2 linked regions of the Arabidopsis thaliana genome follow. The protein of the gene in region 1 interacts with the protein of each later gene in a biochemical or structural test. Each region holds a gene or a part of one and is shown on either strand. Other genes may lie near its edges.

Region 1 (4,183 bases):
GTAACGAAATATGCCCCGACGTGCTACCATAGTGAAAACCACATGCAGATAGAGAGAATTGACTAAATAGCCATGGATGAGGATCAAAAGGAAACGGAGAAGAAGCTAAAAAGATTAGATCTAATGTTTTTATCTTTATATTTATAGTATCTATTAACCGAGAAAACTGATCGGTTATGTCTGCCGAACCGAGAACCGAACTTCAATTATAATTTCGCCGATCGGTTTAGCCTTCCCTTCATAGTCGGTTATCAGAACCAAAAAAACGGTTTGTTCAGTTCGGTCATTGGGTTAATCCGAAATCCCAGGCCTAGTTTTTGCTGGATTGTACAGTAATAATCTGTAACAGATGATAATCTATTCTAGAGTGTGCACAAATTTACCTAAATCAAGTTGCTTTTGAAATCTAAATATTTATAGCTAAAGTTATCTCTGTTTTGTGTTCCTTAGAAGCAGAGATTGCAAGAGCTTAGAGATTTGACGGTCGAGCTAACTTTGAGAAGATAGAAATCGTAACGGTTCAACGACTAGTGAAATAGGCCGGGCCAATATTCAAGGAGGACACCAAGTGACCTCAACTATATATAGCGACTAAGTTTGAAATTAAGTGTAGCATAAAGCCAAATTAACACCATGAACGGAAGACCTTATCATGTTAATAACATAGCATGCAAGTTTCAAAAGCTTCGTCCAATGTCATGAAAACTAGAGACAAGCAGAGAAATAGACAGACTGTACATTGATAATCTGATGCATCCACATATTCCAAGCGCATTAGAAGAAGATCCCGAACGTGTTCTCACCACTGTAACTCATGTATAGAAACCCGTCTTCGTCTTTGTGCTCTTCATAAATTGCAGACATTATTGCCGCTGCAATAAAAGGATAACACTACTACTATTAGCTCAACTGAGAAAAAGATATGATTCCTTGAACTGGAAAAGTATATGATTAAGGAACGTGTTTGAAACTAACCAGTTGGTGGTAGAATGTTCTTGACAAAAATGAAGATGGCTTTCTCGGGACTGAGCTTGATCCGCTTCCGTACAACATAAACAAACTGGCCAACAGTCAAATCAGCTGGGACCAAGTACCTAAAGTTTTGAATAGTAAGTCAGCCAATTCATTATCCCTAAGCAACAAACCATGAAAACCAGAAATTCCTCCAGATCTTTCAATAAAAAAAAATTATTTCTATCCAATTAACCAATTCATTACTAAATGTGAGGGAGTGTAGGGTTCTCAGAAAAGGGCTTGAAGCCACTTTCAGTGAGAAGAAAGAGATTATATCCAACTCCTCAAGAGAAGTAAGGACTTACTTTTTCCTATCAATATCCGGGACATCACTCTTCTCGGCTCTTTCGACAATGACCTGCAACAATTTCAGAGAGAATAAGGCAAAAGCTATGCAATTTTCTTAAATGAAAATAGCCAAAATTCATACTGGTATTCTGTCTGGATACTTCTCCCTGATACGTGCTGCTTCAGCTTGTCTCTTTTCTGTAACATTCAAGAGCAAAAAAAACACAGATCCATCAATTTTCAACACATCAACATCCTCTAACCCACGTAAAACAACACAGACTCAGCGATAATATCTTAGGATTCCACTTGAACAGAGACTATAATGTACTTTGCTTCCTCAGCAAAAGTAGAACAAAATCAAAACATGTTTCAATCAAAGATTATGTACACTACTACTCCAGGCTCCAGGGACTAAAATAGTGATTCTAAGCCTCGTGAACAACACATACTCAGTGATAATATCTTAGGATTCCACTTGAACAGAGACTATAATGTATTTTGCTTCCTCAGCAAAAGCAGCACCAAATCAGAACATGTTTCAATCAAAGATTATGTACAGGGACTGAAATAGCGATTCTACGCCCCGTGAACAACAGAGACTCGACCACGGAACACAAGAGAGACAAGTGAAACTTAGTAACTTCAACATCAATATTCATCTCCACTTGAATAAAGATCATAATGTATTTGCATCAATAAACACAAAACTTGTTTCAATCAAAGATTATGCATACTACTTCACGAAACAATACAGAATCGGCGATAAAATCATTCAACATATAATTTTGCGGATTCTTATAACTGTTAACGCAATCAAAATTGAAATCGTTGGAAATCAGAATCAAGGATCAATTCATGCAAACTCAGAAGCAATTGAAATAGACGTAACCAGATTTTGAGAATTTTTAAACCTAGTCGCTAAAAAAATCCCTACGATGAGAGAGAGATACACAAAGATCAACAAGATTGATCGATTAGGTTTAAATCGAAAACGAACCAAGAGGATGTTCATGCTTGAAGGAGCTAATCGCCATGATTTTTCGCTGCGAGAGAGAAACAGAGAAGAGAGAAGCAAGGGTTTGTGTTCAACGTCGAAATTGGGTAACTCCAAAGAATGGAGATAGTTATTTGGAATGTTTATAAAAAGGGTACGCTTGGCAACAGATCTTTATATATTTAATTACTTAAAACTTAAGAGTTAAGAGTTAAGAAGTATTGAAATATTGGATGTATTAGGCCTGAATGGATATTTTCGATTCAGTTTTTGAGTTTAGATTTTAGTCTATAGATTTTAGATTTTTGTTATTATATTTTTGTTTTAAAAACCCCTAAAAAATTGGTTTTTGGTTTTTGAAAAAATAACGTTGATTGAGTAAAAACTAGATTTTCTAAACTTTAGAAAAACTAAAAAACTTAAATATGAATGGAAAACTACAATAAAATAGTTTTACTAAATTGTAGGGAAACCAAAATTTTAAAATCTTGATTGGTATTAAAATAAGTTTTTAAAAAACAAAAATCAAAAACTCTTACAAAATCTAAAAAACATTCAAGGTCTTAGTTTTTTTTTTTGGGTTTTGTGTAAAAAAATCTATCTATTTAACACTCTCTGTTTTTTGAAAAAAATAAGTTTTTAAAAGATTAATTTTTAGATTTTTTATGAAATATTTATTAGTTATTATTAATTAATTATAAACTTTGATAAAAATAATTGAATATTATTGATTTAAAGTTATAAAAAATTGTAAAATACAAAAAATAATACATTTAACAATTTTAATATGTTTAACTTAATATGTGTGTTTTTCCTAACCAATCAAATAAAAAAGAACAGATGAAGTCATTTTTTATAAGATAAACTATTATGTCAAATAAATGTAGGTTTGATATAGACGATAACTCTATTAAAAACATAAAGATTTAGTGTAAAAAATTTCTATGTAAACTTTTTTTGTAAAAAAAAATCTTCATATCAAATAAATGAATGTCAACACTACAATCTTAAAAATCACTCATAATATTATCTTTTTGTGTAGTGATGACATGACAACCAATAACTACATTAGAAAACATACAATAAAACAAGAGTATTTATAATAAATGACTATAGATTTGAAAAGAATGTACAAACTAACCTTGAATCACAGTATCTTGTCGGAAACATGTTGGAAAACACGTGTAATTACGTAAATGTCCTTTGTAACATGTTATTTTTCCGAAATACATGCGATAACATAATATCCTCTTTTTATCTTGTTATTTTCTCTTATTACATAGTATTTATTAAAAAGCACCTGGTATTTTTTGGAAAAAACATTCTATTCAGTTTAATATCTCTTTTTATCATGATATTTTGTAGTAATACACGTTTTTTATTAAGATCACACGTGATTTCTTTAAAAATATATTCCTATTTTTTAGTAATACATGGTTTTTATTAAAATCACATATAATTTTTTTTTTTTAAGATTCTGTTCACGTAAAAGAATTTCATAAGAATATTTTTTCTTAAAAATTCATAACGTTTTTTGAAATAGCATGTTTTTAAACTAAATATAACATGTGAAATTTTAATGTTACATGCTATTTTGAAAAATTACACGGATGTATTTCGTTTACTGTTCATCTTACAACAAATGAAGGGTAGATTTGTTATTTCCTTTCTTCCGACAACGTGGGATCCATGGTTATTTTGTAACAAAAAACTTTCTCTCTGCTAGTTTCTTAATTTGTATGTTTTATTTGGTTATCTACTAATATTACCCATAAAACAATATACACCAAAATTATTGAATTTTTATTTATCTGAAAATTTGGAGATTCATATTTATTTTTCATTGGGATCTTCAAAACTGTAAATGAATCACTTAAAATCAAA
Region 2 (5,887 bases), on another chromosome or scaffold:
ACATCAGCTGATACACAAGCCCAGTTGCAAAACCGATCTACCAATAAGGAGGTCCAGGTTGAGCAAAATCCGAATAGTATGTTCCAAAAGAACACAGGGCAGGGTCGACGGTTTGGAAGAGGGCAGGAGTCACAAGGAGGTTGGGGTTTACCGGCGCAAGAGAATATGCACCATCACCATCAGAGGCCACCTTCAAACAGAGATAGACAGAAGCAAAATCTGCATTATGAATACAAACCTGTTGGGTCTCATACTTATGATGGAGAACGTAGTCGAGAACAATCGAAAGAGAGTTCTCAGACAGAAGGTCCAAGATACAGAGAGAAGGGACAGGGGCAGCAAAGGCAGGGTGGATACCAACAGCAAAGGGGTACTAGTGGGAGAAACGGTGGTCATGGATTCACTGGTGATAGAAACTAAGATTGGCCTCTTATTGTTATTTAGGTAGTAAGAGCTGCCATGCTGAGGATACTTGCATTTTGAGATATGGCGATTGAGGAAGCTAATTCGTAGGCACATAGCTTGGGAGATTGCTGAGAGGAGACCTATCCGAGGAGGTATTGGCAGATTAAAAAAAAAAAGTCTTTGTCTTGAGAGTTTATTATTATATGTTTCAGTCACTTGTTTGAATATGATTATAACTACTGTAGTAGCCTTTTGTATACACTAGATGAATACTCATGAGTATTTTTGTTTTTAAAGTTGCTTAAAAAAATATGATTATGTTTTTTGGTTGATTTTGATGTTCATTTTGATAAATTCCTATCTATTTAATATAATTTTTTTATTTTATGATTAGATTTATCTATAACTCGAAATATCAATTCTAGTATAATATATATATTTATATCTATTATTCTAATATTTTATTGTCATGATCACATATAAAAACAATATATGATATATTGATACAATGTATGCGTTTTGAAACTTGTCTAAATTAATTGTACAAACAATTATTTATTCCATATATTCTCTTGTCATCAACTACACAATCACATCATGATATGCTAGTAATTCAAGTCACACTTTAATTCTTTTCACTTGCATATAGCCATATAGAATCTCATATTTTTTTTTTTGTATGTCGAATGTCGAATGTCTCAAATGACTATTATATTATAAAATTGTATATCAATGTTACTAAGTTATTAGAACGCACCAAAATGTACAGAAAAAGTTCATATGATAAATTATATTCACAAAACGTAATAATAAGAAAATATCTAATTAAATTTACTAAATTTATATGAGGTTAGGTAGCAAACATAAGAGTTTTAAGAGTTTGGATTTTGGAATTGGTGGTGTTTGTTTCTCAAACTTCATAAATTAGAGTTTAAAATGTTTTTTTATTTTTTGTGGTCGGCATAAGAGTTGAAGTTTTAATAAAATAAAATAGTATCTGATCATTTTATTGGAGAAAACATAAAAGATGTAGTATTTTATAAGAACTCGAATTGGTCAATTTTCAAAATGTTAGTATGAAAAATAAAATATCTAGTTATATGTACTCGTATCTCTTGATATTTTTGGCTTTAACTTAGGGATGTTAGTTTGATTTGTCTTTCTGGATAAGCCAGTAGTAACCAAAAAAGTCAAAATCTTGTTGGCTAAGTCAGAAATTAATTAAATAAACAAAAGGGCCCATTAAATTAATTATTTTAATAAATATTCTGTGTAATGATATATAGTATAAAACGCGACCGTCTAAATTCTTGGTTGTTTACGAGAAAAGCGGATTACGGGTACGCTTCTTCTAAGATAAATCTCTCCCCGATTCTCTCTTTTTCTCGCTAGATACTCTTTTTCTTCAATTAGGGTTTCTTCTCGCTTGCCTTTTAATTCTCTCCAGCTGATCTGATCTCCGTTACCGATGGAGTCTACTGCTAACGCACTCGTCGTCAAGGTTAGAGATACAACCTTCCTTTCTTTATTTGCGAATCGTCAGTTTTCTCACAGTAATTGTCGGTGATTCTGGGTTTTCGTGGCGATCGTCTCGTTTCTGTTGATTTTGTTGCTTGTAATCGGTCCTTTCCTTTTGAATTTCGCTATGGATCGACTCTCTCTCTCTCTGTCTCTGTATTATAATCTTAAGTGTAATTCGAAAATTTTCCAGACATACTTAGCAGTATCTGCTTGAATCTTATACCCGAACAATGATTAAAACTATAAGTTATCGTAATTAGAATCGTAATCTATTTCTTCGACAATTTTTTTTCATTTTTTTCATTGAAGTGATACTAATTTTGTTTGTGATTATGTAGGTGAGCTATGGAGGTGTGCTTAGGCGTTTCAGGGTGCCTGTTAAAGCTAATGGACAGCTTGATCTTGAAATGGCTGGTCTTAAGGAAAAGATCGCTGCTCTCTTTAACCTCTCTGCGGATGCTGAATTGAGTCTGACTTACTCTGATGAGGATGGGGATGTGGTTGCCCTTGTTGATGACAACGATCTCTTTGATGTTACTAATCAGCGTCTTAAGTTCTTAAAGATCAATGTGAACGCTGGCGTGTCCACTAACTCTGCTGCTCCAGAGAGTAGTGGGAGTTCCACACCTGCGGGTATGCCTAACCCGGTTTCCAAAATCCAGAAGGGTATAAATGATGTTCTGATGGCTGTACCTAACCCGATGCGTGATACCATATCAAAGGTGTACATGGACCTTGCATCCAAGGCCTCAACTTCTAGTCCTGTAGTTGGTGAGATGCTTGATTGCATTTCCAAGCTAGGGCAGCTCTCAATTCCTCAGGAAAGTAGTCCTTGCTCACCTGTTACCAAGCCTGGTTCTTCAGGTGCTTCCCTGAGCAGGGATGTTCCTTCCGCTGGTGGAAAGAAGGATATCTCTGAGAGGACCCAGACCGGAAGGAAACCTGTTAATCTGAATGAACCCACTGGCGCTCATTCAAAGACTTCTGGTCATGTACCAAACTCGTCTGGACTGGGTGCTAATTTCAACGAGTGTCCCTTTAGTGGCAGTACCATGAATTACTCCTGTCCAAATCCAGTTAACCTCAACAAGCATCCTCGTCGTGTTTGTCATTCCAAAAAGAGCACCAATGGTGATTACTGGACTTCATTGGGTGTATTCCATAAGGGCATCCGTTGTGACGGATGTGGAGTTCTTCCAATTACTGGGCCTAGATTTAAGTCGAAAGTGTAAGGATGCCTTCTACTTACTACTTTAGAAACTATAAACATGCTAGAACTTATTGTGCTTATATGTTTCGCTTGTGAATATTGTGCAGTAAAGAAGACTATGATCTGTGCACCATCTGCTATTCGGTGATGGGTAACGAGGGGGATTACACAAGAATGGATAAGCCTGTATCCGTTCAACATCTGCATCCTTTTAGAGGACCGTTTACCCAAGTATTGCTCTTCTTCTAAGTTTATAATTACTTTTCTTCTTGTTTATTCTATGTGTCTTCTCTGATAGCTATGAGGAATTCTTACCCTTTTTTTTTTGGTATAGTTTCCTAATCCTTGGTTGAGCCACCCTGTGCCACGAGCAACCAATGGAGGTGCACCTCTCAGGTGTACTCGCCCTAAACTAGACAGTCGGTTTGTCCTTGATGTGAATGTAATTGATGGAACCGTTGTTGCTCCATCCGCCCCATTTACTAAGATTTGGAAAATGAGGAACAGTGGTTCGCTGGTGTGGCCACAGGGCACACAGATTGTCTGGATCGGTGGGGACAGGTTCTGCAACTCCTTGTCAGTTGATTTACAGGTTAGAAACAATTTCCTTAGTTTTCACTCTTTTAGCTCGATTCTTACCACTAACAGAGCAATTATGTTGTTTGAATTTACACTCGATGGCTTGAGTTAGGTTGTTTTCTTCACGAAGTGACTATAGCTGCTTGATTATATAATACTAACTGTTTTTTTCTCTCTTTACACATGGCAGATTCCAAAGGAGGGTGTGCCTATCTATAGTGAACTTGACGTCAAAGTTGATTTTGTTGCACCAGAGTTACCTGGTCGATACATTTCTTATTGGAGGATGGCTACCTCTGACGGTGCTAAGTTTGGGCAACGTGTTTGGGTGTTGATACATGTACTTACTAGATTTGTGCAGCTTCTGTCCTTTAATTCTTTGTCTCTTTCTATCATATGTGTTTGATACATTTTTTCTTTTTGCATGGTTAGGTTGATGCATCTCTGAAGAATTCTGTTGTGAATGAGTTTCATGGACTGAACCTTAATGCCTCCCCCTCCCTTGATGAGAATTTTCCAAGCGAATTTCTAGGGATTATGAATTATGAGTCAGCTCAACCTGGCAGCTCCAGTGTCAATCCTGGGACCGTGAAAGGTACTGATCTAGAGGGCGAAGTTGGTGAAACACAGGCCGTGGAAAAAGAAAACCTTTTGGTTGGTGAAGCTCATCCTGCTATCCCTCACGGTCATTCTCCTTCATCTTCATCTTCTTCATTTAACATGGTCGACTTCCCAAGCATGCCTGCTGTTGAGGTCTTGTCTGGTGGTTCTTCATCTACTACAAAAGACGTGCCAGTTCCTCTTCAGGAGGATATAGAAAAGAATGACGTGGAGATAACCATGCTCAAGGAGCTCGAGGAAATGGGTTTCAAGGAGATAGATTTGAACAAGGAGATCTTGAGGGATAACGAGTACAACCTGGAGCAGTCTGTTGATGCTCTTTGTGGAGTTAGCGAGTGGGATCCAATCCTAGAGGAGCTTCAGGAGATGGTAAGTGTGTCTGCACTTGGTGAATTTATTAAATCTTACTTTGCAGATTGGAATGTTGAAAATATTGTGATTTTGCAGGGCTTCTGTGATGATGTGACGAACAAGAGACTGCTGAAGAAGAACAATGGAAGCATCAAAGGCGTGGTAATGGATCTCCTCACAGGGGAGAAGGAGGCTTGATGAGCTCTTTGGTTTCTGGCAACTCTTCTCTATCTCTCTTATCTATCAGGAATAATTATGTTTTATAAATAAAACCTGATCTCTTAGTTTGGTTTCGTGCTGCGTCACATGGTCTGTTCCTTTGCTTTGTGTTGGGATGATGTTACTATGTTAACTCTATCTAAGACATGGATGGTTTCTTTCTTATTTCAGTTTAGTTTATGTCGTTCTGCTCCTCGGGTCAAATGAATGGTTGAGTCTTTTTTATTGATTTCATCACTTTAGGCCTTTTTGGTCTCCATTTCTCAGCTGTATTTGGCTTAATGTGAGTTTGTGAGAAGAGCTTTCCTTGAAACAACGTACTGTTTTAATTCACATTTACCCTCTCATCTCTCTCAATCAGGTGACATTTTCACGTGGTCGAATCATCGGCATGGCAGTTGCAATTAGTCATGGTGGTCGGCTTCATTAAACTGTTTACAACTGACAAAACTTTGTTATTCTATCCATAGAAACCATTCAAAAACCAATAAAAGTTTTTGAATAGACCAATAAAAGACATTCATAATTGATTTCACTTTTTGAGAAAAATTTACAAGTTTGAAGTAGTAACATGATGAGTTTGTTAGAATCTCTTTGAAGACGAACGAGTGAACAAACTCCTAAGGCTGTTTCTGCTGTCTCTAGTTTTCTTCTTCTTCATCTTCTTGAGGCCATCATTATCTGAAGAAGAGAAGGTTTGTTCTTCTAAAGTGAGTTCGCGTTCCAGTTTCTTAGAGACCGAAAGAATCTCGTAGGGATCCCACAGCGACTGTCCGAATTCCCAATCCAAAAACGACGGATGATGCTTTGCGGACAAGGCTTCCGTTTTGAAACGTGATGCCTTCCCTTTGACAAAAGCATGCTTTCTCTGCGCATCGAACTCTAAAACAGTATGTTTTGAGGTTTGGGAGTGGCTGAGCCAAGCCTGCGCAGCTGCCTTCATCAACTCTAGTCTCTTCTTCTTCTCCTCTTCTTCTTCTT

The links. Proteins that work in one complex are often made in the same cells at the same time.
Region 2: the proteins of ATG8D (region 1) and NBR1 form a complex in vitro, tested with the Arabidopsis thaliana proteins (one study listed by BioGRID).

What each region holds. Positions count from the first base shown.
Region 1 is NC_003071.7:2,082,437-2,086,619, forward strand, and holds ATG8D (Ubiquitin-like superfamily protein), read right to left. Parts: upstream 2,447-4,183; 5' UTR 2,340-2,446; coding exon 2,303-2,339; intron 1,970-2,302; coding exon 1,863-1,969; intron 1,780-1,862; coding exon 1,755-1,779; intron 1,501-1,754; coding exon 1,445-1,500; intron 1,373-1,444; coding exon 1,320-1,372; intron 1,095-1,319; coding exon 976-1,094; intron 873-975; coding exon 775-872; 3' UTR 550-774; downstream 1-549. UniProt on the Arabidopsis thaliana protein: Ubiquitin-like modifier involved in autophagosomes formation. May mediate the delivery of the autophagosomes to the vacuole via the microtubule cytoskeleton.
Region 2 is NC_003075.7:12,739,318-12,745,204, forward strand, and holds NBR1 (ubiquitin-associated (UBA)/TS-N domain-containing protein / octicosapeptide/Phox/Bemp1 (PB1) domain-containing protein), read left to right. Parts: upstream 1-1,714; 5' UTR 1,715-1,873; coding exon 1,874-1,906; intron 1,907-2,264; coding exon 2,265-3,154; intron 3,155-3,243; coding exon 3,244-3,367; intron 3,368-3,470; coding exon 3,471-3,728; intron 3,729-3,905; coding exon 3,906-4,055; intron 4,056-4,147; coding exon 4,148-4,705; intron 4,706-4,783; coding exon 4,784-4,885; 3' UTR 4,886-5,353; downstream 5,354-5,887. Other genes in the region: MOS1 (modifier of snc1), read left to right, coding at 1-420; AT4G24700 (uncharacterized protein), read right to left, coding at 5,490-5,887. UniProt on the Arabidopsis thaliana protein: Autophagic substrate degraded in the vacuole by non-selective autophagy. Requires ATG8 protein expression to be recognized as an autophagic substrate. Acts probably as a receptor for autophagosomal degradation of ubiquitinated proteins.